Linked DNA regions of Coturnix japonica. Each later gene encodes a partner of the first gene's protein in a complex. Links are inferred from orthologs where the notes say so. Each region holds a gene or a part of one and is shown in the gene's direction. Other genes may lie near its edges. The genes, in order: CTNNB1, FBXW11, LEF1, BCL9, cadherin-1, CTNNA1 and NR5A2.

Region 1 (2,151 bases):
AGGAGATAATGTTCAATATTTCAGCTGAAGTGCCTTTTCTTTCCCTGACTGTAGGAGGGTGTGCGCATGGAGGAAATCGTAGAGGGCTGCACTGGAGCTCTGCATATTCTTGCACGTGATGTTCACAATCGAATTGTTATCAGGGGTCTAAATACCATTCCACTATTTGTGCAGGTAAGCTGGAGCTCAAGAAAATGCTGTAGTACATACTAGTATAACTTCCCCAATGCCTTGTTGGTAGAACTGTTAATTTGCATTGTACTAAAGTTCTTTTCAAGCAGAAGAGTTAAAAGAAACCCTTGTTATGATTGCAGTTGTTGTACTCCCCCATTGAGAATATCCAGAGAGTAGCTGCGGGTGTACTTTGTGAACTTGCTCAAGACAAGGAAGCAGCTGAAGCAATTGAAGCTGAAGGTGCAACTGCCCCTTTAACAGAACTACTCCATTCTAGGAATGAGGGTGTTGGTAAGTGAACTTAAAATTAAGTTTCATACTTACTGGAAAAGTATCAAACATCAAAAGAATTGATGTTGACTAAATTCACTTTACTTTTTTAATAGCAACATATGCAGCTGCAGTGCTGTTCAGAATGTCTGAGGACAAACCACAAGACTACAAGAAGCGACTTTCAGTTGAACTGACAAGCTCTCTGTTCCGGACTGAGCCAATGGCTTGGAACGAGGTGAGTTGTGTCCTTGTGTGAATGGTAACTTGGGGAGACTTTACTTTCAAGTCCCTCTTCCTTCCAGTAGTGAAGTGTAGATGCCATCAGTGATATGGATTCAGTTTTACACATGTCTGTAGCTTCCTTACTCTTTACATGTTCATGTTCAGCTTGTAGGTTTGTAGAAAATGGTGCAAGCTTCAAATGTATACTCTTGTCCTAGGGCAGAAGTTTATATCTAAACAGGTGAAACTGACAGTTTTGGGAATTCATTACATAGGGCAAGAAACCTCTCTAGAACTACAGACTTGCTCAAGTAGAATAATGAGCGAGTAGCCTTAGAGCTGCTGCTTTAGTGCTTTCTTTTCAGATACAAAGAGTCTAAAGTTTAAGTCTCATTTTGCTCTGTGTGTAAGAACTCTGTAGGTCTCTGTGCTGCTTCTCATTTGAAAGGACAGCTCAGCAGTAATCTTTAGGAATTTCAACCAGTTCTTGCAGGTTGTCCAAACCTGATGAACTGATGATAGGATACAAGCATAACCATAACACTCCTCTAAGGACTCTTATTTAGCAAACTCTGTAGGACTAAGAAGCTTGGTGTGGGTATGCCACTTTTATGTTCTCATTAATTGAGAATTGAGCTCTCAGACTTGGAAGTATTTGCAAGCTATTACATGAAATTTTTTCATGCTTAAAGGCCAGCACAGTGAATTGAGACTGAAAACTGCCATTGGGGAATGTTTCACTAAATCTGTCTTTCCCCATATACTTACTTAACAGTCTTACCTTAATAATATGTAGTAGCCTTTGGTTTGTAGTATTTCAGTGTTCACCTCTGATTTCCTGAAGTCTGTATCCATCTAACATGTTAACATGAGAAAACATAGCAAAAATGGTGTATCTTTTTGAAATACAGTGCAGAAGAGTTGGTTAAAAAGAAAAAGGATTTATGGCAAGCTTTAGAATTTCTTAAATTCAATTATTAATGTTGGCCCTAAGACCTGATGTGAAAACTGTTCTGTATCTTTTTGTGCACATCTAGACAGCGGATCTTGGACTTGACATTGGTGCCCAGGGAGAACCTCTTGGATACCGCCCAGATGGTATGTCTGTTCCATTCCCCTTGACTAAGCTTAATATAAGTCAAGTCATTGACTGTAAAGGAGAACTGCAAATGGCTGAAGAGTAAATTACTCCTCAGCAAGATATTGCAAACTGACAGGCAGATGGGGAACTGCCAGTTCAAATAAGCAGTTTCTGCAACACCTCTGGCTGCACTGAAATGGGAGCCATATGAATGTGCAAAATTGGTGTCGCTTGTCTGAGTCTTGCAAGAGAATCTCCCACTGAGCTGCTGTTTCCAGAAATCTTTTAAATCCTTTACAGATGGACTTGACAATTCCAGAAGTGCAGTTTTTCTTTAAAACAAATGTTGGTATGGTATATATATTAGTCTTTAAGTGCCAGTAGACTTAAGTCTATTGCTA
Region 2 (3,500 bases), on another chromosome or scaffold:
GCAGGAATCAATATTACAACCTTGTATTACAGATCTTGAGGAATACCTGCTTCTTGGGCCGTGTAGCCCCATGGATTATGTGCTTAAAACATCCAACATTCTGTGCTGAGAGGCAGCAAGGTGCTTCTGCTGCTGATGCACAGCGGTGAAGCTTAGTTTGCTCTCATTCTTTCTGTGAAAATGGAACAGCCTAGTAGTAGGAAAGGACTAAGGAGAGAGGTATTTTGGTGTATCTGGTGGGATTTATTTGTGACTGATACTTCTCTGTATGATATGATTAATCACATTTGCTCTGGTGCCTTAAATATAAAGCTGTGTTAGCTTTCTCTCTGTACTGTAAAACATGTTTAGTAGTTTACTGCGAAGTGATTGACGTGTTGATTGCCTTTATTTCTTTGTAGAGCAAGGCTTAGATCACATAGCAGAAAACATCCTTTCCTATCTTGATGCCAGATCACTCTGTGCAGCAGAGCTGGTATGCAAGGAGTGGCAGAGAGTCATCTCTGAGGGAATGCTATGGAAAAAATTGATTGAAAGAATGGTACGCACAGATCCGCTGTGGAAGGGACTGTCAGAAAGAAGGGGTTGGTAAGTACCCAGACAATAATTCATCTCTTACTGTGTTTCCCTTGATAAATGAAACTAATTGTGAGCATTACCAAAGAGCAATTGATAGTATCACTGCAGCTCTTATCCCTCCTGTGGACTGCTGGGGCAGCAGCAGCAAAGAAGCTTTTCATCCTTCACAAGGATATTGAAGGTATCAGGTGTTCTGCTTTAGAAATGTGTTTGTCTATGCTCTCTAGTGGTGTGCCTAAGAAAATGCAAGGCATGCTGTAAGGAGCTGTGCAAGAGGAGGACACCCTGCTGGTCAAAGCCTTGTGAAGCAGAGGACCCTCAATCAGAAAGCCATAAGGAAAACACCTGTTTCTTTTCAAATATAGCTGTCAAATTGTAAAGTCACAAGGGTTATAATTTCAATACTACAAATTATGACAAGTATTCTGTAAGAATGTATTGTAAGTTCTTGTTCTTTGCAGATTTTGAATTCCTTTGCGGTTTGGTTTCTTCATGATAAACTGAAAAATATGTTTCTGGTTCTTTCTAGGGATCAGTACCTGTTTAAAAACAGGCCAACAGATGGCCCCCCAAATTCGTTTTACAGGTCCTTATACCCAAAGATAATACAGGACATAGAGGTATGTTTTCTGACATGTCATATCTGCAGTAGAATTTATATTTATTTCAGCCACGTGATGGGTATAAAGTTTTGGTCTGAAGTTCATTAGTGGGGAAATGTGTTCTGATGTTTAAGGCAGATGTGATCTAATAGAATCATTCCGCTATGGCAAATGTGAGTCTGTGTTGCTTGGCACTCTGTAAAATCATTCAGAGCTCTTAGTCTACCTGTAAAACGTAACTGCTGCAGAATATAATCCAATTTTTAAATATTTTTAGCCCCTGTTACACAATTAATGAACATCTAAAGGTGCAGAACTAAGGGTTAAATGTCACACAGGTGAAGAGAGATCAAATTTGATGCTTGCTACCTGAACAATGCACATCTTAGTATTTGAAAGGAGTTGTATGTGTAAGGAAGGGCAGTGACAATATAGTGATGGTAAGTGATGGTGGTGTTGTACCATGTCAGTGCTTCAGGCTTTTGAAACACTGCTGTTTTTAGGTTTCCAACCTGGAGTGGGGTTGGTGTTTTTGCTAATAGCCCAGGGTCCCCTATAATTCATCTGAATCCAAGGGTATATTAGATTTTTCTTATAAATCACCCTTTTAAAACTTTTTTTCCCAAATTGCTTCTCTAAAGAACTGTCAAAGGAAGCTTTTAACTTTGTTTAGAAAGGTGGGTGGTGGGCAACAGTGGCAACAAGAGCTAACTGTAAGGCTTGGAATGCTTCCTAACTTTCTTCTGCTTGGTTTTGATTTTGCATCTGTTCGGGCCTTTTAAGCCTAAAGTTACACTTGCCCTTACTTTCATACTTCTCCAGTTTCTTCACTTTTCAAAGCAATATGCGGAATAAGACTTTCATTTTAGCAGAGTTGAAGAGGTTTCTATCTCTGAATATCAAGATGTTTTTTCTTTAAATGTTTGTCTGGGCCTTTAATGAGATCTTCATTTTCTGTCAGAGCTTAGGCAGCTCATGATGAGCCAGTGATGCAGACGCTCCATTTGTCCTCCTACCAAGGCTACTGTATTAGCACTGCAGTGTGATCAACTTAGTATCTATATTATCTTGCATCCAAGGGGCCCAATTTCTTTATTTTTAATACAGTAAAAGCTATTTGATGTGACAGAAAATCTAATCAGTCAGTATTGTACCTGTAGAGAGCAAAGATGGAACGTGTTTTGCTATGCTGTTACTGATGTGAGGAGGTACCAGTTTACAGAAGCTGATGCTGCACTGGCTTTGTGAGTGGAGATGAGCTCTACAAGTAATGTCCTCCATTCTTCTGGTTGACTGAGAGAACTGAAAACTAATCCAAGGCTTGAATTAATGATTGGAAGGGAATCTGAGGAACGATATGTAGCGAATGTGAATTGTTTTCTTCAGACTCTATTTGCATTCTAGGTCAAAAGTCCACGCAGCCATGAAGTGTCATTAACTGCAAGGTAGGACAGGCTGTGATTCAGCAGATGAGGCTCCCTTGCCTCTCTGAAGGTTTATTAGTGCCAGTGTCTGTTTATTTCATGCCAAACACATTTTAGGAACATAATGTCACTTCTGAAGTCATCGGATTCGAAAAGAAGAGGACATTTAGAGATCTGAAACCAAATTCTTGGAAAGAGGTCTCTCCCTCCACCGTGAAGCCAAATATTTAATAAGGTTTCATTTCACAAGAAGTGGTCCAGCAGTGCTAAATGTCTCCAAGTTCTATGTTGGATTGCCAAGCCCCTGTAGGATATATATATATTTAGGGGAAAACCCATTTGTGGGCATATCTTAGCAAATGGAATTTGGTTTTGTGAGACTTGTTTACAGAATTTTTTTTGCTGCAAGGTGTCCTGTGACTGGGTGCAGTCCTGAAGCACTGCATGAAGGTCAGCTGTTTGGAGTGGGTTGTGTTAATGGGCAGCGTGACAAGATGGGAAGCTTAATACTGCTGATTGCAGAACCCCAAGTCCCTGGATTTTTTCCATATTATTTGTGAAGCCTGGCCAACTATTTGGTTTTCCCTGCAGTTCTAGCACAAGTATCCATGTGATGAGTTGAGAAGACTGTTTCAGAAATGTCATGTTCTCGAAGTTAAGGGGAACAAGTTCTCATCTTGGTTCTGTGGAAACGTAGGTCAACCTTATTCAGATGAGAATTAAAATGTGATTTTTGCTCTGCATTTTCAGACTTGAGCCACTCGAAAGGCACATCTTAATGTGAAACTGGCCTGCAAACAGGCAGATTGTAACTGGCACAGGCCTTGACTCATAGCTGAGAAGGGCAGAAAACTGCTTTTGGGTCTCCATGCTACAGGGCAGGTCCTCAGCTGGG
Region 3 (4,025 bases), on another chromosome or scaffold:
GCGCACACGTGGGCGCCCTGGCGCGCCTCCATGCTCCTGCCAAATTTAGGCTCACAAAGGGCCCGGGGGGGCTGGCGGGGGGGGGATGAAAGGGGCCGCCGGCGGGACATCAAAGAGCCGCCGCCCCGCCCCGCTCCCGCCCTCCCCTATATAGGGGGCGCCGCTCCGCACGCAACCGGGGGGGCTGTGAGTGGGGATGGGGGGTTGTGTTCTGTTGCCTCCGTTCCTTTCTCGGCGACGGGGCTGGGGTAGAGCGGGGCCGGCCGTCGGGGCTGAAAAATTAAATGATCGTAAAATAATGATTAAAAAAAACCATAATAATAAAACATCCCAATTGCCGAAACTGCCAAACCAAGCTAAAAAGGCGTGAAAAAAGGGAAAAGGGAAAAAAAAAAAAACAACAAAACCCAAAACAACGAAAACCCCACGACGTTCTGCTGTAAAGCAATTCTGTGTGTATAAAAAACAGGATGCCCAAAGCCCGCAGATGTGTATAAGGACCGGGGAGGTCTCGCAGTGCTGACCCAACGCAGCGCCCGCGGAGCGCCGTGCGGTGCCCCTCCGTCCCCGTCTCCGTCTTTCTGTTCCTACTTTCCCCTCTCCTCGTCCGAATCCCTCTCGCCGTGCCCCACTACCTGCTCCCGTCCTCGGTCTCATTCCTTACGGAGCCGTCGGGGGGAAGCGGTGCGGAGGCCCCGCGGCCAACGGAGCGCTCGGCCCCACGCCGCGCTGGGTCGGGCAGGGCACGGACAAGGCACGGGCAGGGCACGGGGCGCCCCGGCCACGGGGCCGGGATGGTGGGGAGCGGTGGTCCGCAGGATGCCCCGCACCGAACGCAACGAGCCGCATCGCTCCGATGTTTCCCGAGTGAGCGCGTCGGATGCTTTTGTTTAGATATTTTTTTTTTCCTTTAATTTTTTGGTTATCGACAAAATCTTTCGAACGCGTGTTCGCTCCCAACGGGGCGGAGAGGGGCACCGCTCCTGTAGCGCTCCCAGCCCCGCAGCGTTCCCGGCCCCGCACAAACGTACCCACACGGCGGCCGCCTCTGCAAACTTTCCCGGAGCCGGGCCCTTCCCCGCCACCCCCCCCTGCCCCTTTGCCGTCCCCCCCCCCCGGTGTCACTCACGGCGGCGGCTCCTTTCATCTCCACCGCCCCCGCCCCGCCCCGACGGCTGGGGCGGGCGGGGTTCGGTTCGCCCCGCGCAGCCCCGCGGCCTCCCTACGCCGTTCCCCCCGCGGCGGGCGCCGAGCGCGGAGGCAGCAACTTGGCGAGGACTTGGTGGGGTTTTTTAATTCATTTCTTTTCTTTTTTTTTTTCCCCCTTCTTCTCTCCTCCTCCTCCTCTCTCGCCTCCTCCCTCGCCTCCTCCCCCGCCGCTCCTCCCGCTCCCTTCCCGCGGCGGGCCGGCGGCCGCAGCAGACGCCGCGCTGCCGCGAGGATGCCGCAGCTGCCGGGGGCCGGGGGCGGCGGGGGGGACCCGGAGCTCTGCGCCACCGACGAGATGATCCCCTTCAAGGACGAAGGGGACCCCCAGAAAGAGAAGATCTTCGCCGAGATCAGCCACCCCGAGGAGGAGGGAGACCTGGCCGACATCAAGTCTTCTCTGGTCAACGAGTCCGAGATCGCGCCCGGCGCCGGCGGGCACGAGGTGAGGGGCCGGGGGCAGCGGAGAGAGGGGAAGGGCGGCCGAGCCCTGGCGAAGGCCCCCTCGGCCCGGCAGGGCTCGGCGCGGGTCCCGCGGGGCGGCCGGCGGTCCCAGCGCTGCCCCGCACCCCCACGGGCCGTGGGCTCTCGGAGGGGTTCGCACTGAACTGTCGGGAAGAAATTCCCGACGCTAAAACAACTTTGGGCCGAGCCGCTTGTCGGTGTTCCTGCCTTTTTTCTGTTTTTTGTTTTTTTATTTTTAATTTTTTTCTTCCCCCTCCCCAAGAAATGCAGTAACGAGGGCAACCTGATTTGCCTTTCGCATTTTGGTACCCATTGGGCGTTTCGGCCGCCGGAGCTCGGCGCGTTCCCGCACGCTGCCCCTCGGGCTGCGCTGTGCCCGGAGGAACCAGCTGTGCTGCCCCGCGCCGTCACTGTCCCGTCTTTTGAGGCGGACGGGCACAGCGAACCACCGCACAGTGACTTCTCCTCTTTTCCTTCCTCCTCTCCGGTGCCGGATTCCCCGCGGTCCAGGTTTCCCGGCAGACTCCAGCGCAGGATTCCTACCATGACAAGGGCAGGGAGCACCCGGAGGAAGGTGAGAACCGCGTGTCCCGCTTGCTGCTCCCACCTTCGGGCTGCAGTTCGTGTCTCAATAATACAGTGTCTGCTGGGGACGGGAAAGCGTTGGGGGTGGAGGTGGATGCACCGCGTGTTTATCTCTGGTGACCAAATGGTTGTCGAAAGTAAGACTGATAAGGAGGCCACATGGATCCTCGCTGAAGAAATCACTGTTTTTAGGATGTTGATTTAACGCAGCACTGCCGGCTGTGTTGGGGAGCAGTGTGATTTCCCCCAAGCACATGGCAGCCCCTAAGCCTCCATCTGAGCAGCCTTCCTGCCCTCTGTAATGCACCGGCGGTTTGTTCTGGCCAAGGAAATAACAAAGTTTGTGGAATATTGCTTAGGGGGTCAGGCACGTGTACAAAGAATGAGTGCTGTGAAGGACAAAGGCTGTGCTTAACGTGCAGTGGTTGTGATCACAGGCTGAAGCAGGTCATCACCTCCACAGGAGTGGGACGCAGCTCAGCCCCAGCGCCTGCCGGGACCCTCTGGTTCCTCACAGAACTGGGCTCTGCACACCCTAACAGCTGCAGTGTCTGTGCTTGTGGCCGTGAGGGAAGATCAGCTCTGTGCAGCTCTTTTTCCCCTTGCACCCTCTGAAAAGCTCACCTGCAGGCAGTCTCGCTGCCCAAACCCGTCCCTTTGCAGGACCCAGAGCCAAGCTGTTTCCTTACAATATCACCTCCCCACATGGGCTCCCCCTCCCCAAGGCCGTGGGTCTGCCCCGTGCCAGCCCTGCCCTCTGCTCCCAGTTAGGAGAGGAGAGAGTGATTGCCCCTTGTTCTTGCTGTCTTCTCCCTCCCCTCCTAGCAGTGATGTGGGGAAGCCATGCTGGCAGTGCTTCCCAGTCCAGCATCCTGGAGGGACGTGCGACGTGGGGGAAAACCGCTGCTTGAGCTACACGATGTCAATGCTGGTGTTTCTGCCTACTCTGGCAGGGACTGGCCAAATAAATGAGTTGCTTTGAGGGTGTGTCACGTTGGCCCCTCGCAAAGTGCACCGACTTCTTTAAGAATTAACTCTTCTTCTTAAAAAAAAATGTGGTTACAAATTGCTGGGACTGTTTTCTGCCAGAAATAATTGCCATAAGCAAGGGAATGTTCTCAGGCTGAATGTTTCCGTGATCATACAGTACCTGTTTAAGTGAGGTGCATGCATGGGGAATAACACCGTCATTGTCTCCTCTTCCCTAGGAAAGCATCCTGACGGTGGCTTGTACAGCAAGGGACCATCGTACTCTGGTTACTCGGGGTATATCATGATGCCAAATATGAACAACGACCCGTACATGCCTAACGGATCTCTGTCGCCACCCATCCCCAGAACAGTGAGTTCTTTCCCTGAAGACTTTTTGGGGTTCCTCTGTGAGTCCCGCAGCGTGTGGCTGCTCTGTGCATTTGGGCTCTGACAGTGTTGGTTGCGGTCCCCGTGCTGAACCCCGTGACGAACCGCAGTGCGCTCGGAGCGGGGCTGGGGAGAGCCCTGCTTTACACTGCGGGATAATGTGCGGTGGGGCGATGTAAATGCTGTCTTTGTAGTCGTGAGGACAGATGTGAATTTTCTGGCGTTAACTCTTTGTTTGTTGAGGAGTCTCGAGGGCTGCAGCGGGGCTGCTCGAGCTGCCTGTCAGCGAGATGAAAAGGCTCGCTCCGCTTTTTGCCACCAGATACGGTATCGCCGGCTGCTGATTGACATTGATTCCCACCATTGGTTGCTCCATGCAAAAAGGCTTTGTGCATCGAAGAGAAATGCTC
Region 4 (3,500 bases), on another chromosome or scaffold:
GATGTGATTTCTTCTCTCTTCCTCTTTCCTCCTTCCAGACTGCAATTCTGCTGATCATGTGAAGTCCCAGGATTCTCAGCACACACCGCACTCCATGACACCTTCAAATGCTTCAGCCCCAAGGTCTTCCACACCTTCCCATGGCCTGACTGCTGCTCTGGAGCCAGCAAGTGGGCAGAAGACTCCATCCAAAGTGGTTTACGTTTTTTCTACTGAGATGGCCAACAAGTAGGTAGATGCTTGAATGTCTTCAGGGAGAGGGGCTTACATTTTTATTCCCTTTTCATGAAACTTTCAGGTGCCCTTTCTCGGTCAAGTACGTTTTTGTAGCAAAAAGGCAATGCTGAGTGTTTTGGTGGTGCTGGAAGGGCTGGAATGGGGAAAGAGGCCTTTTGCTCTCTGAGAAGCGATGATATATTCCTATGGGGGTGCATTTTTGGCAGATGCCAATATTATATTGGTTTGTAATCCACACAGCAAGTGTGAGCCGGGGTGACTTAAACCAAGACGTGACTCTTTAAGTGTTGTTGTGTCCGTAGATGTAAGTATTTTCTTTTTGCTGCCTATGTGCTATCAATTATGTGTGGTTGTCTTTTACCCTTCTGCCAGCTGAAAGGTGAAGAATGCTGGTTAGGAAAATCTGATTCTTAGCTTCAACTGGATATGTGCGTTTGTCTGTCTGTCTTTGCAGGGCTGCAGAAGCCGTGCTGAAGGGACAGGTGGAAACCATTGTGTCCTTTCATATCCAGAACATCTCAAACAGCAAGGTGGAACGAAACACTGTACCCTTGGTAGGGAGCTGCCTGCAAGTGGGTGGGAAGGGGAATGTTCAGTTTGCTTGTGATTCGGAGAGTTGGGTGATTGTTTATGCTCTGAAATAAGTCTTAGGATGGAAAACAGAGAGATGGTGGTTGTTCTAGCCTTCTGCAAATAAATGTCTTGAATTATCCAAAGAAGAGTGTGTCTTGCAATATTTGGGTAGTATATTTCCAACCCACTGATGACGCAGAGCTAATGCAGAAGGAAGGGGTACCTGCTGTGATGCTTGAGCAAAAGTGTGTGGGGTTTTTTTGTTGCTTTGTTATTTATGGCCAAGATGCTGCTCTGTAAATGTTGTTTACAAAGAGACTACCCTTCCTTGCAGAGTGTGTGTTGGTGGGGTTAGGACATTACATTGGCACCTCTGCTTACATGGCACAGCTGTAAGAAGAGAGTGATGGCATGTGGCTTTCTCTTTCAGAACCCCCAGATCAATGCACTTCGGACTGAACCCAAACCCCTGCCGCAGCCACAGCCCCCTGCTGCCCAGGACCAGAACCCTCCTCAGAACGCCAAAATGCAGCCGACTCCGCCTGTGTCAGCACCAGTATCCAAATCCACCGGTCCCCCGTGTCCCATAGACCAGGACAGTCCCAGCGTAGAAAGCAAAGTGATGTCTGTGGGCAGCCCTGCCAACTCGACCCCGCTGCAGACAGAAGGATTTGGGCAGAGTTCAACCCCCAATAATCGAGCAGTTAGCCCTGTTTCCCAAGGTAGCAATAGCTCTGCTGCAGACCCCAAAGGTCCTCCCCAGCAGGTGTCTGGTGGGGACCCGTCCAGTTTGGGTGAGAATCCAGATGGACTGTCGCAGGAGCAGCTGGAACATCGAGAGCGCTCATTGCAGACCCTGAGAGACATACAGCGCATGCTCTTCCCTGATGAGAAGGAGTTTGCTGGAGGGCAAAGTGGAGGGCCACCTCCAAATTCTGGGGTGATGGATGGTCCCCAAAAGAAACCTGAAGGGCCAATACAGGCCATGATGGCTCAATCCCAAAGTTTAGGCAAAGGGTCAGGGTCTCGGACAGATGGAGGGGCTCCATTTGGCCCTCAAGGACACAGGGACATGCCCTTTTCCCCAGATGAAATGGGGCCACCACCAATGAACTCCCAGTCGGGACCTATAGGTCCAGACCACCTGGACCACATGACTCCTGAGCAGGTGGCCTGGCTTAAGCTGCAGCAGGAGTTCTACGAGGAGAAGAGAAGAAAGCAAGAGCAGGTTGTTGTGCAGCAGTGTTCCCTGCAGGACATGATGGTCCATCAGCACGGGCCTCGTGGGGTTGTCCGAGGCCCCCCTCCTCCCTACCAGATGACCCCTGGGGAAGGCTGGGGACCTGGGGGTCCAGAGCCCTTCCCTGAAGGCATGAACATGTCACACTCTTTGCCCCCCAGGGGCATGGCCCCTCATCCCAACATGCCTGGGAGTCAGATGCGCCTGCCTGGTTTTGCAGGAATGATGAACCCTGATATGGAGGGCCCCAATGTCCCAAATCCTGCCTCTCGGCCGGGGCTTTCAGGAGTCAATTGGCCAGACGATGTGCCAAAAATCCCAGATGGCCGAAACTTCCCTCCCGGCCAAGGTGTCTTTAGTGGCCCTGGCCGAGGGGAGCGGTTCCCCAACCCGCAGGGCCTGCCGGAAGAGATCTATCAGCAGCAGCTGGCTGAGAAGCAGATGGGCCTGCCTCCTGGCCTCAACATGGAAGGCATCAGGCCTGGCATGGAGATCAACAGAATGATCGCCTCCCAGAGACACATGGAGCCTGGGAATAACCCCATCTTCCCTCGCATGCCTGTGGAAGGGCCAATGAGTCCCTCCAGGGGGGAGTTCCCAAAAGGAATGCCCCCCCAAATGGGCTCTGGCAGGGAGCTGGAGTTTGGGATGGGCCCTGGTGGCATGAAGGGGGACATGGGTATGAATGTCAGCATGGGCTCCAACCCACCCCTGGTACCTCAGAAGTTGAGGGAGGCGGGAGTCGGGCCGGAAGAGATGATGAAACTGCGACCGGGTGTCTCGGAGATGCTCTCCTCTCAGCAGAAGATGGTGCCGCTGCCGTTTGGGGAGCACCCGCAACAGGAGTATGGCATGGGTCCCAGGCCTTTCCTTCCCATGTCTCAGGGCCCGGGAGTTGGTCTCCGAAACCTCAGAGAACAGATGGGGCCCGACCAAAGGACTAACAACCGGCTCAGCCACATGCCGCCACTACCTCTCAATCCCACCAGTAACCCTAATAGCCTCAACACTGCTCCCCCCGCGCAGCGCAGCCTGGGCCGCAAGCCCCTGGATATCTCTGCAGCCGGTCAGGTGCATTCTCCAGGAATCAACCCTCTGAAGTCTCCCACCATGCGCCAGGTCCAGTCTCCCATGATGGGGTCTCCCTCGGGGAACCTCAAGTCTCCTCAGACTCCCTCCCAGCTGGCAGGAATGCTCGCAGGTCCCACTGCTGCAGCTGCTGCTGCTTCCATCAAGTCCCCTCCGGTCTTGGGGTCTGCTGCTGCTTCTCCTGTCCACCTCAAGTCACCATCCCTCCCCGCACCTTCACCGGGATGGACTTCGTCTCCAAAGCCTCCTTTGCAGAGCCCTGGCATCCCCCCGAATCACAAGGCGTCTCTCACCATGTCTTCTCCGGCCATGCTGGGGAACGTGGAGTCGGGTGAGTGCTGCCTTTTCCAGTCCATCCTGG
Region 5 (4,126 bases), on another chromosome or scaffold:
GCAGGACTCACGAACCTGATGCCAGCTGCACCGCGGCCTGGACGCCCGCCCTGAGGTGATCCGCAATGACGTGGCCCCCACCGCTGATGGCCGCCCCCCAGTACCGCCCCGGCCGGCCAACCCCGATGAGATCGGAAACTTCATCGATGAGGTGAGCCCGACCGTTCTGCCGCCGCACTGCTGGGCTGCCCACAGCGTCCCCATCCCATAGGGCTGAGCGCGGGGGGAGCAGCGGGTGAGCCCTTCCTCTGCCCTCCTACAGAACCTGAAGGCGGCTGACACGGACCCACGGCCCCCCCCTACGACTCCGCTGCTGGTGTTCGACTACGAGGCGGAGGTCGGAGCCACCTCGCTAGCTCCCTCAATCTCCTCCGCCTCCGACCAGGACCAGGACTACGACTACCTCAACGAGTGGGGCAACCGCTTCAAGAAGCTGGCGGAGCTCCTATGGCGGTGGGGAGACGATGACTAGCCCCCAACCAGCGCTGCTGCTGCCCAAAGCCTTACCCTGCCCGTGCCTTGGGGCCGCGCTGCCCTCTCCTGCACTCCCTGTGCTGTTTGAAGCAGCCTTGGCTTCCTCCTGTGTGTTTCAACTTTTTTTTTTTAAGCAACTATGAATTTGATGTAGTGGGGTGGTATCAGGGTGGTACCGTTGTGGTACCGGGGTGGTATCAGGGTGGTACTGTTGTGGTACCAGGATGGTACCAGCGGGCTGAGCTGGGGCTGTAGAAGTTTTAGGGAAGTTTTAATAAAGGATGTGGTTTTCCTTTTTCCTTTTTTAAGACCCTTCTCTGTCTCGCTGTGATTCTGTGCACCCCAAGGGCTCAGAGCAGACCCCCCTCACCCGGGGCTGGCTCAGCCCCATCCCCTGTGTGCAGCGATGGGGAGTGCAGGGAGCAGCGCTGCCCATCCCCAGGGCTCTGCCCGCTTGGCGCTCAGCAATAAGTGCATTAAACAACTTAACTGCGTTAACCACGCCGGCTGAGCACGGCGCCTAAGGGGGAAATGGAGCGCTGCTGCTGCCGTGCCACGGCCAGGGCTCGGCTTCTGTCCCAGCTCGGTACGAGCAGCCCCAGTGTCTGTGTGCAGACTCTGCCCCGCTGCAGCCGCGGGGGCGGCGGTAGCACTGAGTGTCGCTGCTCACCCCGGCCCCAGCGCAGCGCCGCAGTTCGCAGAAGGGACCGACCCCGCCGCCCCCTCGTCCCCCCGTGGGCCTCGCGCCCGTGGACGGCGCCGTGGGACGGGGCGGGCGGGACGGGGCGGCCCCGGTGAGGCGGAGCGGGGCGGGGAGGGGCCCGGCGGGGCCAACACCTGCGGGCGGGGCGCTCCCACCTGCGCTTGGCGGAGGCAGCGCTCGGCAGCTCCGTCCGCGGCGGTACCGGCCCGGTCCCTGAGCCATGGGCCGGCGGTGGGGTTCCCCCGGCCCGCAGCGCTTCCCCGTGTTGGTGCTGCTGCTGCTGCTCCAGGTGCGGGGCTGCCGGGCGGGACGGAGGGGACGGAACGGGACGGAAGGGGTCGGGGCTGACACCTCTCTCGGGCAGGTGTGCGGCCGGCGGTGCGACGAGGCAGCCCCCTGCCAGCCCGGCTTTGCTGCAGACACCTTCACCTTCAGCGTGCCCCGGGACAGCGTGGCGGCGGGCAGGGAGCTGGGACGAGGTAGGAGCACGGGGGTGGCTGGGGGGACAGAGCTGTGGTCGTGGGGGTGGGTTGGGTGTGCGCCACCAGAGGTGATGAGAGACACGGGAACAGGCTCAGCGTGGTACCGAAGGTGGCTGGTACCAAGGACGAAGGTGTTCCTGTTGGGACGGGTTCAGTGCGTGGCAAAGTGGCATAGAAATATGGTTGGATGGGGGGCTGGGTGCGTGGCACCGAGGGTGGCCATGGGGAACAAAGCCATGGCTAAGTGCCCGTGTGCCCTGCGTGCTGTCAGGGCCGGCTGCACTATGTCCAGTTCAGTGCTGGTGGCCATGGGCACACGGAGCCGTGCCTACGTGTCCCAGCTCCACGAGCAGCCCGGTGGTGCAGGTGCCGGGGCAAACAGGGGCAGTGGGCGCCTCTCCCAGCAGCACCGAGGCGGGCGGCGCTGACTCAGGCAGAGCTTGTTGGGGCCGGCAGGCTGGGTGTGGGGCATGGAGCCCGGCCCTGAGCCTGTGCTGAGCCCACATCCCAGCACCCAGCACACATCAGCACCCAGCTCACAACAGCACCAAGCCCACATCCAAGTGCCGAGCGCCCGTCCTGGTGCAGAGCCGTGCGTGGGTGCGGGTGGTGGTTCTTAGGAAGGGTGGCTCAGGAGTTCCAGTCTGAGTTTCGCCCACGCTGGGGAGTATCGGGGCTGGGAGCTGAACCCTGCACTGTACCAACGCATTCCATGTTTGTGAACTTTCTGTTAATCATTTACCCGGGCTGTGCAGCGCCAGCAGGCTGTGCCCATTGGGGCAGTGACTGACATCAGGGTGACGGGCAGCTGTGTGCCAGGCAGCACTAACCCAGCACACAGCGATGGCTCCCAGCTGGAAATCCCCGCTGCCGAGCACCAGCACTTCCCGTCTGGGGCTGGGGACAGGGGGGGTGTGTGGGAGTTGGGCGTCCTGTCTGGGTCTGCCCGCGCGTGCCAGCGCTGCTGCCACAAAGCCTGACCACAGAGCATCCTGCCGTGCCCTCCGTGCCGTGCAGCCTTTCAAAAGCCCCATCTGTGGCTCAGCACGAGCAGCGTGATGAGCTTCCCTGTAATTACCCGATGAGCCGAGCGCTGTGTTTGCAGTCAGACAGGTCTGGATTGGCCCCGCACAGCGCTCGGGTGGTGAACATCAGTGGGAGCTCCAGGGGCTGGTGGGTGCAGCTCTGGGCTCCCCAACGGCGCTGCAGCTGCCTGCCTGATGAAAGGGCTTGGTGGAGGAAGGAGCAATTTCCTCCATGTTAATGCGGGCTGTAAAAGCTGCACGGCACGATGCTTTCTGCTGGGTGCTGGGGCTGCTGCTGCCCCACACCCCAAGGGAAGGACAGACAGCACCTGCCCCGCATCCCTGGGGCTCAGCTCAGCCTCACTTACTGAGCAAAGGGTCCTAAGGGAGGGGATGGGATGGTGGATCCCAGGCAGGAGCTCTGAGGGAGCCCTCGGCTGTGTGGGTATGGCACCTTATGGGAGGAACACGGGTGTGCAGCCAGGTGTGACGCTTCCCAGTTGCGTAGGTCCCGGATCAGCCCCAAATGGGAGAAAACCGAGAGTCTGAAGTCACGGTGAAACTCGGTGATGTCAGGCCCTGGCAGGACGTGTGGCTCACTGCGCTCTTGCAGCACTTTCACCCTGGCTGCTCATGGCTGACGTGTGCCTCTCCCCGCCACCAGCTTCCGCCCCGGCACAGCCGCACTTGCACAACCTGCGTGGGGATGGGGAAGAACATTGGGATGGTGGCACTTGGCTGCGCCTGTGACTCACCCTGTGCCCAGCCCCAGTGAGACACTTTCCTGTGTCGCAGCAGAATGGGGGTAGCTTGGTGTCCCCAGGTCCCAGCCCAGTGTGGAGGGCTCACCTCCCCACCCCAGCTTTGAGCCGGTAATTCGCTGGTTTGGGCCCCACGGCCAAACGCATTTGAAGGTCCAGGAAATCAGTGGCACTCAGTTGCCTCCCGCAGTGCAGGAGCCCCTGAGCTCGACCCCTGCCCCACGCCTTGCCGAGGCCCCATTGGCTCAGTGCCCCGGGGAGAATGGAGCTGGGAGGGGCTGGCTTTCAAGTGTGGAGCTGGAAAAACAGGTTGTGCACGGCCGGGCGCAGAGGGGGAGATGGGGAGAGGGGGAGAGGGGGAGCTTAGCAGCGGTGCGGGGCCGGGTGCTGTGCACGGTGCGCTCCGCCGGCCAAGTGCCAGGAGCCGGGTACCCGCAGGGATGGGGCACCTCCCCACTGCGAGCACACGGTGCGGGAGCGCCCGGCGTGCCCCAGCACAGCCCTGCACAGCCGGTATCACCGGCTGGCCCGCCTGGGTTGGCATCGCCCCGCAGGGAGCGCGGCACGGCGGTGGGCGAGCAGCCCCCGGCCCAGCTCTGCCATTACCTCCCCCTCGATGTTGTCTCTGAATTCCTGGGCTGCCTGCAGGCTGATGTAACACGGGACGCTGGGACAGGTCCC
Region 6 (4,073 bases), on another chromosome or scaffold:
TCAGTGTCGAGAGCCATGGTGTGAAGCACAGTGTGCTCTGCATGACATGGGCTGGGGGCTGGCACCCCAGGAATCTACATGGGCTGAATTGCCTTGCTCCAATGTATGCTCTGCTCCCTGAGGGCTGCCCAGCTCTGTGTTTTGATTGGTATCAAAGGACAGAGCAAATAGGTTCAGGTAACTCGGAAATGCTGGCAAATGAGTCATGAAATGTATTACAGTTATTCATTTGTTTTTACAATCCAGTACGAGCGTAAGTTCTGTAGAGATATTTGAATTAAAAGTCATGTCAAAACAAACTATGAAAAATACCAGTGATTTGATGCAGGGAAAACGTGGTCACTGGCTGTCTTCAAAGCCTCTGAAATACATTACTCCTTGGAGACATCTCTCCCCATCCACAAATCTACATTCATTGACTAACACTCAGCTCCTAAAAGCTCCCTAAGAGCAGGAGCTGCCACTGACCGCACCAAGCAGCACAAGGATGCTGCTTCAGACTTCTGTGTGTTGAGATGAGACACCAAAAGACCAACTAAACTCCGTAACGTCCCAGTCAGGAGCCACAGCACCAACATGGGACATGACAGCAGCTTCACACTGTGACTTTGGGGCCTGCAAGGCTCTTCTAACAGCACTTACAGACTGTCTGTCCAGCCTGGAGCACAGCAGGCTCTGGGGTGACCCTCTGGCTCTGTACAGCTGCCTGTAGGAGCACTCAGTGTTGTGGCAAGTGACAAAACGCAGGGTGAACGCAGCACATTGCACGAGGGGATGTTTAATTTGGGTATAATCACAGAATCACAGAATTGTAGGGGTTGGAATCTCTAGAGATCATCCAGTCCAACCCCCCTGCCAAAGCAGGCTCCCTACACCAATAATAATCATAATTTCTTCATACAAAGGATGGTAAAACACTGGAGCTGGCGATGAGGCCCCGTCCCACAGGCACTGAGAGTGTGGATGTGGCCCTTGGGGGCTGCAATAGTGCTGGTGGGGGGTGGGCTGGGGGGTCCCTAAAGTCTTTCCCAAGCGCAGACATGCTGTGATCTCACTCTGGCCGGTAACTGGACAATTTTTGCTTGTGACTGGAATTGTTGGTTCTGCCCCAAGCACGAGGTGTGTGGGGCGATGTGAGGGTGCTGCAGCCGGGCCTGAAGGGGTGCAGGGCCGAGTGGAGGCGGTGGGACCCCCATGTCGGGCTGACCCCCATGGCGGGCCCTCACCTGCCCGCGGGGCGGCGCGGCGGGCGGTGACGGGAACAGCGGCCGGGCGGGGCGGGAGCGGCGGCGGGAGGCGCCCGGAAGAGCCCATTTCCTGCTCGGGACGGAGCGGGTGCGGCCCAGACAAAGCGGCCGGGGGTCGGTGCGGGTCCGGCGGCGCAGCGCGGCTCCTCGTCCCTGCTCCGGTAACTATCGCACTAGCGCCGCTTTAACGGCGCCTTGGAAACTTTTGGCGGCGGGACGGGCCGGGCTCGGCTGCATTGGGCCCCGCGGGGCGGTCGGAGCTGAGGCCGCGGGCGGGGAGCGGGGCCTGTGGGGCTCCGAGTGGGGCGGGGGCAGCGCGGCCTGGGCCGGGTTCCGGGAGCGGGGCTCGGCCGTGGGGCTGTGGGGTCGTGGGGCTGTGGGGCCGCGCTGTGTGTGTCGGTGTGCCCCGTTTCGGGTGATCCCGGATCAGGGCGGGCGGGGCCCGGCAAAGTCCGGGCAAGTTTCGGTGGCGGCGCGGAGTTCGCTGAGACTTTTCCCCGAGGGCTCGGGCTGCCCGCATGGCTCCTCGGTTCGGCTCCTCGGTTCGGCTCCTCGGTTCTGCCCTGGGCTGTTCCGACGCTTCGGGAGCGGCCTGGCTCTAAGCGCGGTTCTCTCCGTCCGCCCCAGCTGGGAGCGGCGTTGGGCGCTGCCCCCGCTCGTCCTTGGCCGGCCACGACTTGTGTCCCATCGCTCCTATTTAAAGCGTGGGGTGAGAGTGTCAGACCCCAGCTGCTGGCTCACACCAGCCCTCCCGGGGTCACCAGGCGCTCTGCTTTCACACACTGAGCTCAGCATAACGCGTGTGAAGCATCCCGGTGTGGGCACAGCGAGGTGTGTGTGTCTCTTGCTGGGAGCTGGCTGCGGTCTGCCCCCATGTTACCCCCCCACACCCCGTAGAGCTTCCAGACCCCTCTCTTGTTCCCCCTTTATTCCCTGCTTCTGTCTGCCCGTCCTCACCCAGAGGGCGATGTCTGTGTCTGACTGAGCTGCCAGTCGATAACCCCCATGCCCTGCAATAACTCACACTCCCTGTTTGCATTAGGAGTGCCCGTGTCCTCGTTCCAGCACCCAACGTGACCACCCATGGCATGGCTGAGGTGACTGGATTCAATTGCTCTTTCCCCTCACCCCCCACTTCCTTTTCAATCTTCCCCCTCCCTCCCGTCCCCCCTTTTATTTTCCTGGGACAGGGGCTGAATAACCAGAGTTGTTCCTGATGCTGGAGTTGCTTCCTGTGTTATTCCTGCGTGGTGAGCAGGGAAGAGGAGGAGGTGGGGAGGCTCTGCTGGTTGCATGGATCCCAGTGCACATCCCCAGCCCGGCTCTGGTGAGGCTTCACACACTGCCCAGCTCAGTGGGGCCTGTCAGCCCTTGGGCTGGGCTGTGGGGTGGTCATTTTGTGTTTCAATGGTGTGAAAGCCAGTTTGCTTCACAGAACTCGTGGTCTTTGGGTACGGTTTGGACCATCTTTGGGTGCTGTGTGTTTGCTAACACTTGTTTTTCCTTCCTGTAGTGAAATATTTTCTTTGGAAAGGGCATCATTTCATGTTGAGTCATTAACTGATTTTTTTATTCAGAGAAACAGTTTTCAATGGAAATATCTTAGTTCCTCTTCTGAAAAGTCAATGATTTAGTTCTTGGTTGTTTTTTTTTTTGAAGGCTTTGCCCTAACCTTTTCCATAATAAACAACAAGCTTTCAGCCTTTAGCTTTTTCCAGCCAGCTCTAATAATAGAGCAGTGGAGATTAAAAGTTTACCCAGGGTGGCGGGGGGAAGCACAGCGGGTGGAGATTAGAAATCCCGCACCCAAAACGGTGACTTAAAATATTGTAGCGAGTATTTATGTCTCCATAAATTCTCCAGCTTCGTGTAACATCAGCATTTCCAGTGTCTGACATGTGTAATGGCAAATACCAATATACAGCTGCTTCACAGGGTGTCCGTGGGTCTGATAAAGTTAACTGAGAGATGTAATAGAAAAACAATTTGTGTGTTTTCAGCAGCATGAATATCTTCCTCCCGCAGCTGTGAGATGGAGAAACTGATCTTGCAAAAGAATCCACATAAGTAGAAGTGTTTATGAGCTGGAAATAGACTTCAGTAGAATGTCAGACCTTCATTGAAGTTGCATCTACTGTTAGTTCTTAATTTCTAAGGTTATTTTCTTATGAAGAGAGTTTGTTAAGTTCATGGAAGTATTTAATGGCATGGCCAGTCGACTCATCATGGATGCTTAGTAAGGTTGGTATTGAGTGAGGAAGTACAAGGCCATGGTCCTCCCTGAAAGGACTCGGTGTATTGCATCTGGGTTGGTTTTACTGGCACCTCTTGGCTTTGGACATCAGAGGAAACGTGGTGAATAAAAGAGGACTGAATATTATGTTAGCACAATACCATATTGAGATGAGGTCATGTAACACAAAGCTGAATGCCCGTTGTTGTTCCCTGCTGAAGTGCCTTAACTGGAAATCACTCGAAGTCTTACATTGTAGAACATCGGTGTGTATAACCTTGAGGATTTGGGTTCTTTATTACTTCTGGGAATCCACCCTACCTTGGCTTTATAGCTAATCAGGAGTAGCACTGTATGTAGCTCATGCATTGGTCAAACTGAGTTACAGCTTTCCAGGAAGTGCAGATGTTTGACAGTTACTACTTGTATTTTCATATGGCTTTAATCCAACGTGTGAGGCTGGAAAGAAAAACTGCAGCAGCACCTTTGTTGGAGGAACCCAACTGGCAGCGACCTGTGGGGCCATAAGGCAGCAGTGGCTGGCAGAGCGCGATGCAGTGATGTGCCTCATTGAGTTACAGGAGGAATGCAGT
Region 7 (3,500 bases), on another chromosome or scaffold:
ACACTGTAGTCACTTAGACCATGAATACTCCGATTCAGTATAGAAAGAGTAAGGAAAATTCCTTGCATTCAGACTGATGAACTAAAACAACCTTGTTTACAAACATCCGATTCTCATCACAAATGCCAGGAATACATTAAAAGCATTTCCTCAGGCTGGATGTGGCATACAAGCCCCAAAACTACTTTTTGTTTAATGTTCATATTAACTGTACTTATCTTTAAATCTGACTAATGCTTTTATTGCCATACCAAAGTGCTTAAAGTTATTTTGAAGTTATTTTTAGCAAGGAAAAGGTTTGACATGCTAATTCTGAAATCATTATACAATTTATCTTCCTGTTTAATGCAGTTTAACTCCCAACATAGGCCATATTTTCTGGGGGAACTTATGTTCTGCCAATTCATTCATGATTGCAATTTGCCTCTGAAAGTAATCTACTAATCATAATTACAACACTCAACTTTTAAATCAACTCACACTCCCTGCAAAATACCTTAGGAGTTTTAAGTACCTACGTGAAAACATAAACAGTTCTTAGAAAACATCCAGAGTAATATATGAAAACACGATTTACCAGAGACACTGGCAAAAAGACTTCAGATAAATAAGTGTGAATAGCTCAGGAGCCATGCACAGCAGCTCTGAAATTTCCAGTTCCCCTCACTCTGGATACTGAAATTTCAGATGATTCCACTCGGACAGTCATCATCACCTTGGTACTGCTCGGGAATTCTTTAACGCCAGATAGCAAAATTCAAGCAGAGGTCATGTCCTGGCTCCCAAGTGAGCAGCATCTGATTCAGGGAGCCACTTGTGTCATTTCCAGAACAAAACTGGGACAGGAAAGAGGCAGACAGTAATGATGAAAGGAACCATCCACCCTGCAGAAAGCCCATGAAAGAGTGAAGCAAAGGGGTAGCCGGCAGCAAGTACAGTATGCTGCAGAGAGCCTCCTGCTCCAAGTCTGTACATGCTACCCAGCTCTGCCATTGGGAACCATGACTTCCCTCCTGTTCTCTGATCCTGAGGAAAAATGTTTGCCTCCTTCAACCATTTTCCTCTTAATCTAGCACAGTTATGAGCAGGAACCATAAGTTCTATTTAAAGCTCTTCTAGGAAAAGGTGCAGTTAGATCCAACTTACACAGCTTTCCAGTGTAATGCATTGGGAAACCAAAGTGTGTTCCTATTTTACAAAGGAAAACACTCATTTCCCCTCCATTCAAAGCTGGGATTTACAATGAACCAAATTCTGCCAAATTCCCCCTCTCCCTTGCTCAAAGAATATCCATATAGGGACACATTTGTCTTAATTCGAAGTGAGTTAGCCGAGTACATATGCTTCTACTGCTGTGCTCTAGCATTACAAGAAACTGTATTACAGTACTCTACTATGGTACAGATGACTGAACATCAACCAAAGTAAGTTCTCCCAGCAAGAGTAGTTTGATTGCTTCCCACTTTCTGCATTATATCAGAAGTCTGATTTGCAAATGTGGGAATAATTTCTGCAATCTTCAGACATGTCAAAAGACAGCATCAAAACACATTTAACAAAGGGACTCAAACAGTACGGAGTCAGTATATTGGCAGACTCTTTCCAGTGGTGCACAGCGATAGGACAAGGGGAAACAGCCACAAACTGGAGCATAGGAAGTTCTGCTCAAATGTGTGTAAGAACATCTTTGTGATAAGGGTGATGGAGCACTGGAACAGGCTGCCCAGGGAGGTTGTGGAGTCTCCTTCACTGGAGATATTCAAGACCTGCCTGGATGCCTACCTGTGCGACCAGGTCTTAGGAGACTGCTTTGGCAGGGGGGTTGGACTTGATGATATCTACAGGTCCCTTCCAGTCCCTACAATTCTGTGACTATGATTCTGTGATTTATCCCTGACTGCCATTTTCATAGCTGAAACTTCCTGTGTAGAAACAGAAAGAAGATAATCAAAGAGAGGAAGAGTGAACAAATCTTGCCTGCTAACTGATGTAAGCACCCATGTTATCCAATACCAAATAAAATTAGCACGTTGGATTTCAGAAAGCATAGTCAGGCTAAAGGGCACCATTTTTATCTGGTATTCCCCCCAAAGGACAATGATTTCAATTTATAAAGATCATTAGTCAATGAAATATATATTTTAGAGAGTTTCTAGTAGGGAAGATTATTTTGGCAGTCACTGGAGTGTACCAGATGGTTCATTAACATAGACTAGACAAGTCAAAGGCTTTCAGAATCGTTTAGAAAATGTCAAACAGAAACAAGAACCCTGTCACTTTTTATTAGAATTAACTACATCATACCCTGGACACAGATTTCACCTTGGGTCAGAAAAATTAATACAGAATTATATGAATTGTGTAACATACTAGGTTAAAGATAGGGCTTCCTCTTGGGACTCATTTGCTAGCAATATATCACGGTCTTCTACTTTAGGAATCCTCAACCTTTCTTTTTGTAAGATATGAAAAGAGCTGACCTTGCTCAGACTCCATTGGTGTCTAATTGATTTGAGGTATATGCAGAATTTCAACAAGACACTCCGCTAAAGCTCTTTGTGATCATTTTCCCAGGAAAGAGAGCAAAAGGGTTTGCTGAATATTCAGCAGCTTGTAGAGTATGCTTTTGTCAGGAGGAAAAAAATAATAATACAAAAAACCCACAATATTTAGCAAAATGTTGCCTTAGTAAGCCGTAATTAAAATGCAACTCAATTGTTCTTACTGTTTTTGTTGTTGTTTTAATTACCATTCAGATGTCAAAAACCTAGAGAACTTCCAGCTTGTGGAGGGTGTTCAGGAACAAGTGAATGCTGCTCTGCTGGACTACACAATGTGTAATTACCCACAGCAAACAGACAAATTCGGGCAGCTTCTCCTGCGACTACCAGAAATCCGGGCCATCAGTATGCAGGCAGAAGAATACCTCTACTACAAACACCTGAACGGAGATGTCCCATGTAATAACCTTCTCATTGAGATGCTGCATGCAAAGAGAGCATAAATTATATCCATTAGAGCTTCTGCTTTCAACGAAAAAATATACTCTGAACTGCTCCAAGCAACACTAATTAAAATGTGGTTTTAAGACTTTGCAAAATGGTATAATAATCAAATACTAATAGTAAATAAGTGATGTATCAGGGTATTTGTATTGCAAACTGTGAATCATATGCTACACATCCCCAAAGGAATCTCTATAGGACTTTATAAACTGGAGAGAAGTAAACATAAAACGTGGATACTATCACCAATGCCAACATGAATAAGGACAGAATGATTCTTGTATATTTAACTTCTGATTGCCAATACGAAGAAATTTAGGGGAAAACTGATCTGTATTATTGAGCTAAGAGAGTGGAGAAATTGAGCGCACTAAATTCCTTCATTGTACAGCAGGACTTCTAGAGCAGTTATAATAGATGCAAAGCTGCATCTACACCATCTTCTATCATTCTTCCAAGGACCCAACACTTCTGTGATAAACAACGTGGCATCCA

Evidence for each region.
Region 2: the proteins of CTNNB1 (region 1) and FBXW11 are in contact, whole or in part, in a crystal structure (PDB 6WNX), measured with the Homo sapiens proteins. The link is inferred for Coturnix japonica from reciprocal best matches to the Homo sapiens genes CTNNB1 and FBXW11. Residues at the interface, in NP_001091679.1 of Homo sapiens: Leu31, Asp32, Ser33, Gly34, Ile35, His36, Ser37, Gly38, Ala39; in NP_036432.2 of Homo sapiens: Tyr244, Arg258, Ser282, Leu284, Ser298, Leu324, Lys338, Ala364, Ala365, Asn367, Gly381, Arg383, Arg404, Gly405, Ala407, Ser421, Leu445, Arg447, Tyr461, Arg494, Phe496.
Region 3: the proteins of CTNNB1 (region 1) and LEF1 are in contact, whole or in part, in a crystal structure (PDB 3OUX), measured with the Mus musculus proteins. The link is inferred for Coturnix japonica from reciprocal best matches to the Homo sapiens genes CTNNB1 and LEF1. Residues at the interface, in NP_001159374.1 of Mus musculus: Lys180, His219, Ser250, Phe253, Tyr254, Thr257, His260, Asn261, Leu264, Asn290, Lys292, Phe293, Ala295, Ile296, Asp299, Lys335, Trp338, Thr339, Val349, Gln375, Arg376, Gln379, Trp383, Arg386, Asn387, Ser389, Asp390, Thr393, Asp413, Ile414; in NP_034833.2 of Mus musculus: Gly11, Asp12, Pro13, Glu14, Leu15, Cys16, Ala17, Thr18, Asp19, Glu20, Met21, Ile22, Pro23, Phe24, Lys25, Asp26, Gln31, Lys32, Glu33, Lys34, Ile35, Phe36, Ala37, Ile39, Glu45, Asp47, Leu48, Asp50, Ile51, Lys52.
Region 4: the proteins of CTNNB1 (region 1) and BCL9 are in contact, whole or in part, in a crystal structure (PDB 3SL9), measured with the Homo sapiens proteins. The link is inferred for Coturnix japonica from reciprocal best matches to the Homo sapiens genes CTNNB1 and BCL9. Residues at the interface, in NP_001091679.1 of Homo sapiens: Leu148, Arg151, Ala152, Glu155, Leu156, Leu159, Asp162, Asp164, Val166, Val167, Lys170, Ala171, Met174, Leu178; in NP_004317.2 of Homo sapiens: Asp349, Leu351, His358, Arg359, Ser362, Leu363, Thr365, Leu366, Ile369, Gln370, Met372, Leu373.
Region 5: the proteins of CTNNB1 (region 1) and cadherin-1 are in contact, whole or in part, in a crystal structure (PDB 1I7W), measured with the Mus musculus proteins. The link is inferred for Coturnix japonica from reciprocal best matches to the Homo sapiens genes CTNNB1 and CDH1. Residues at the interface, in NP_001159374.1 of Mus musculus: Leu148, Ala149, Arg151, Ala152, Glu155, Leu156, Leu159, Asp162, Val167, Lys170, Ala171, Val173, Met174, Gln177, Leu178, Phe253, Ile256, Thr257, His260, Leu264, His265, Asn290, Lys292, Phe293, Ala295, Ile296, Asp299, Gln302, Ala305, Tyr306; in NP_033994.1 of Mus musculus: Asp788, Val789, Ala790, Pro791, Ile813, Asp814, Asn816, Leu817, Ala820, Asp821, Pro824, Ala826, Pro827, Pro828, Tyr829, Asp830, Ser831, Leu832, Leu833, Val834, Phe835, Asp836, Tyr837, Glu838, Gly839, Ser840, Gly841, Ser842, Glu843, Ala844.
Region 6: the proteins of CTNNB1 (region 1) and CTNNA1 are in contact, whole or in part, in a crystal structure (PDB 1DOW), measured with the Mus musculus proteins. The link is inferred for Coturnix japonica from reciprocal best matches to the Homo sapiens genes CTNNB1 and CTNNA1. Residues at the interface, in NP_001159374.1 of Mus musculus: His118, Thr120, Asn121, Val122, Gln123, Arg124, Leu125, Pro128, Ser129, Met131, Leu132, Lys133, Ala135, Val136, Asn138, Leu139, Ile140, Tyr142, Glu147, Leu148; in NP_033948.1 of Mus musculus: Ala58, Leu61, Ala62, Ser64, Val65, Gln67, Ala68, Thr69, Asn71, Phe72, Lys75, Gly76, Lys78, Ile79, Glu82, Met104, Ala108, Phe111, Pro115, Cys116, Arg121, Met124, Ala128, Leu131, Leu132, Val135, Leu138, Leu139, Ala142, Asp143.
Region 7: the proteins of CTNNB1 (region 1) and NR5A2 are in contact, whole or in part, in a crystal structure (PDB 3TX7), measured with the Homo sapiens proteins. The link is inferred for Coturnix japonica from reciprocal best matches to the Homo sapiens genes CTNNB1 and NR5A2. Residues at the interface, in NP_001091679.1 of Homo sapiens: Tyr306, Gly307, Asn308, Gln309, Lys312, Lys345, Val346, Val349, Gln379, Trp383, Arg386, Asn387, Asn415, Thr418, Cys419, Gln559, Glu562, Gly563; in NP_995582.1 of Homo sapiens: Ser300, Ile301, Pro302, Glu475, Gln476, Ala479, Leu482, Asp483, Tyr484, Met486, Cys487, Asn488, Tyr489, Pro490, Gln491, Gln492, Thr493, Leu501, Arg507.

The regions. Positions count from the first base shown.
Region 1 is NC_029517.1:39,927,525-39,929,675, forward strand, and holds part of CTNNB1 (catenin beta-1), read left to right. Parts: intron 1-54; coding exon 55-174; intron 175-314; coding exon 315-465; intron 466-560; coding exon 561-682; intron 683-1,706; coding exon 1,707-1,767; intron 1,768-2,151. UniProt on the Homo sapiens protein: Key downstream component of the canonical Wnt signaling pathway.
Region 2 is NC_029528.1:13,899,016-13,902,515, reverse strand, and holds part of FBXW11 (F-box/WD repeat-containing protein 11), read left to right. Parts: intron 1-401; coding exon 402-588; intron 589-1,108; coding exon 1,109-1,199; intron 1,200-3,500.
Region 3 is NC_029519.1:33,527,571-33,531,595, forward strand, and holds the start of LEF1 (lymphoid enhancer-binding factor 1), read left to right. Parts: upstream 1-1,225; 5' UTR 1,226-1,441; coding exon 1,442-1,651; intron 1,652-2,181; coding exon 2,182-2,245; intron 2,246-3,464; coding exon 3,465-3,598; intron 3,599-4,025. UniProt on the Homo sapiens protein: Transcription factor that binds DNA in a sequence-specific manner. Participates in the Wnt signaling pathway. Activates transcription of target genes in the presence of CTNNB1 and EP300.
Region 4 is NC_029516.1:82,883,864-82,887,363, forward strand, and holds part of BCL9 (B-cell CLL/lymphoma 9 protein), read left to right. Parts: intron 1-38; coding exon 39-228; intron 229-691; coding exon 692-791; intron 792-1,240; coding exon 1,241-3,470; intron 3,471-3,500. UniProt on the Homo sapiens protein: Involved in signal transduction through the Wnt pathway. Promotes beta-catenin's transcriptional activity.
Region 5 is NC_029526.1:16,825,352-16,829,477, forward strand, and holds the start of cadherin-1, read left to right. Parts: upstream 1-1,326; 5' UTR 1,327-1,397; coding exon 1,398-1,466; intron 1,467-1,541; coding exon 1,542-1,656; intron 1,657-4,126.
Region 6 is NC_029528.1:14,039,999-14,044,071, forward strand, and holds the start of CTNNA1 (catenin alpha-1), read left to right. Parts: upstream 1-1,273; 5' UTR 1,274-1,408; intron 1,409-2,553; exon of another isoform or gene 2,554-2,574; intron 2,575-4,073. UniProt on the Homo sapiens protein: Associates with the cytoplasmic domain of a variety of cadherins. The association of catenins to cadherins produces a complex which is linked to the actin filament network, and which seems to be of primary importance for cadherins cell-adhesion properties.
Region 7 is NC_029523.1:1,487,323-1,490,822, reverse strand, and holds part of NR5A2 (nuclear receptor subfamily 5 group A member 2), read left to right. Parts: intron 1-2,756; coding exon 2,757-3,004; 3' UTR 3,005-3,500. UniProt on the Homo sapiens protein: Orphan nuclear receptor that binds DNA as a monomer to the 5'-TCAAGGCCA-3' sequence and controls expression of target genes: regulates key biological processes, such as early embryonic development, cholesterol and bile acid synthesis pathways, as well as liver and pancreas morphogenesis.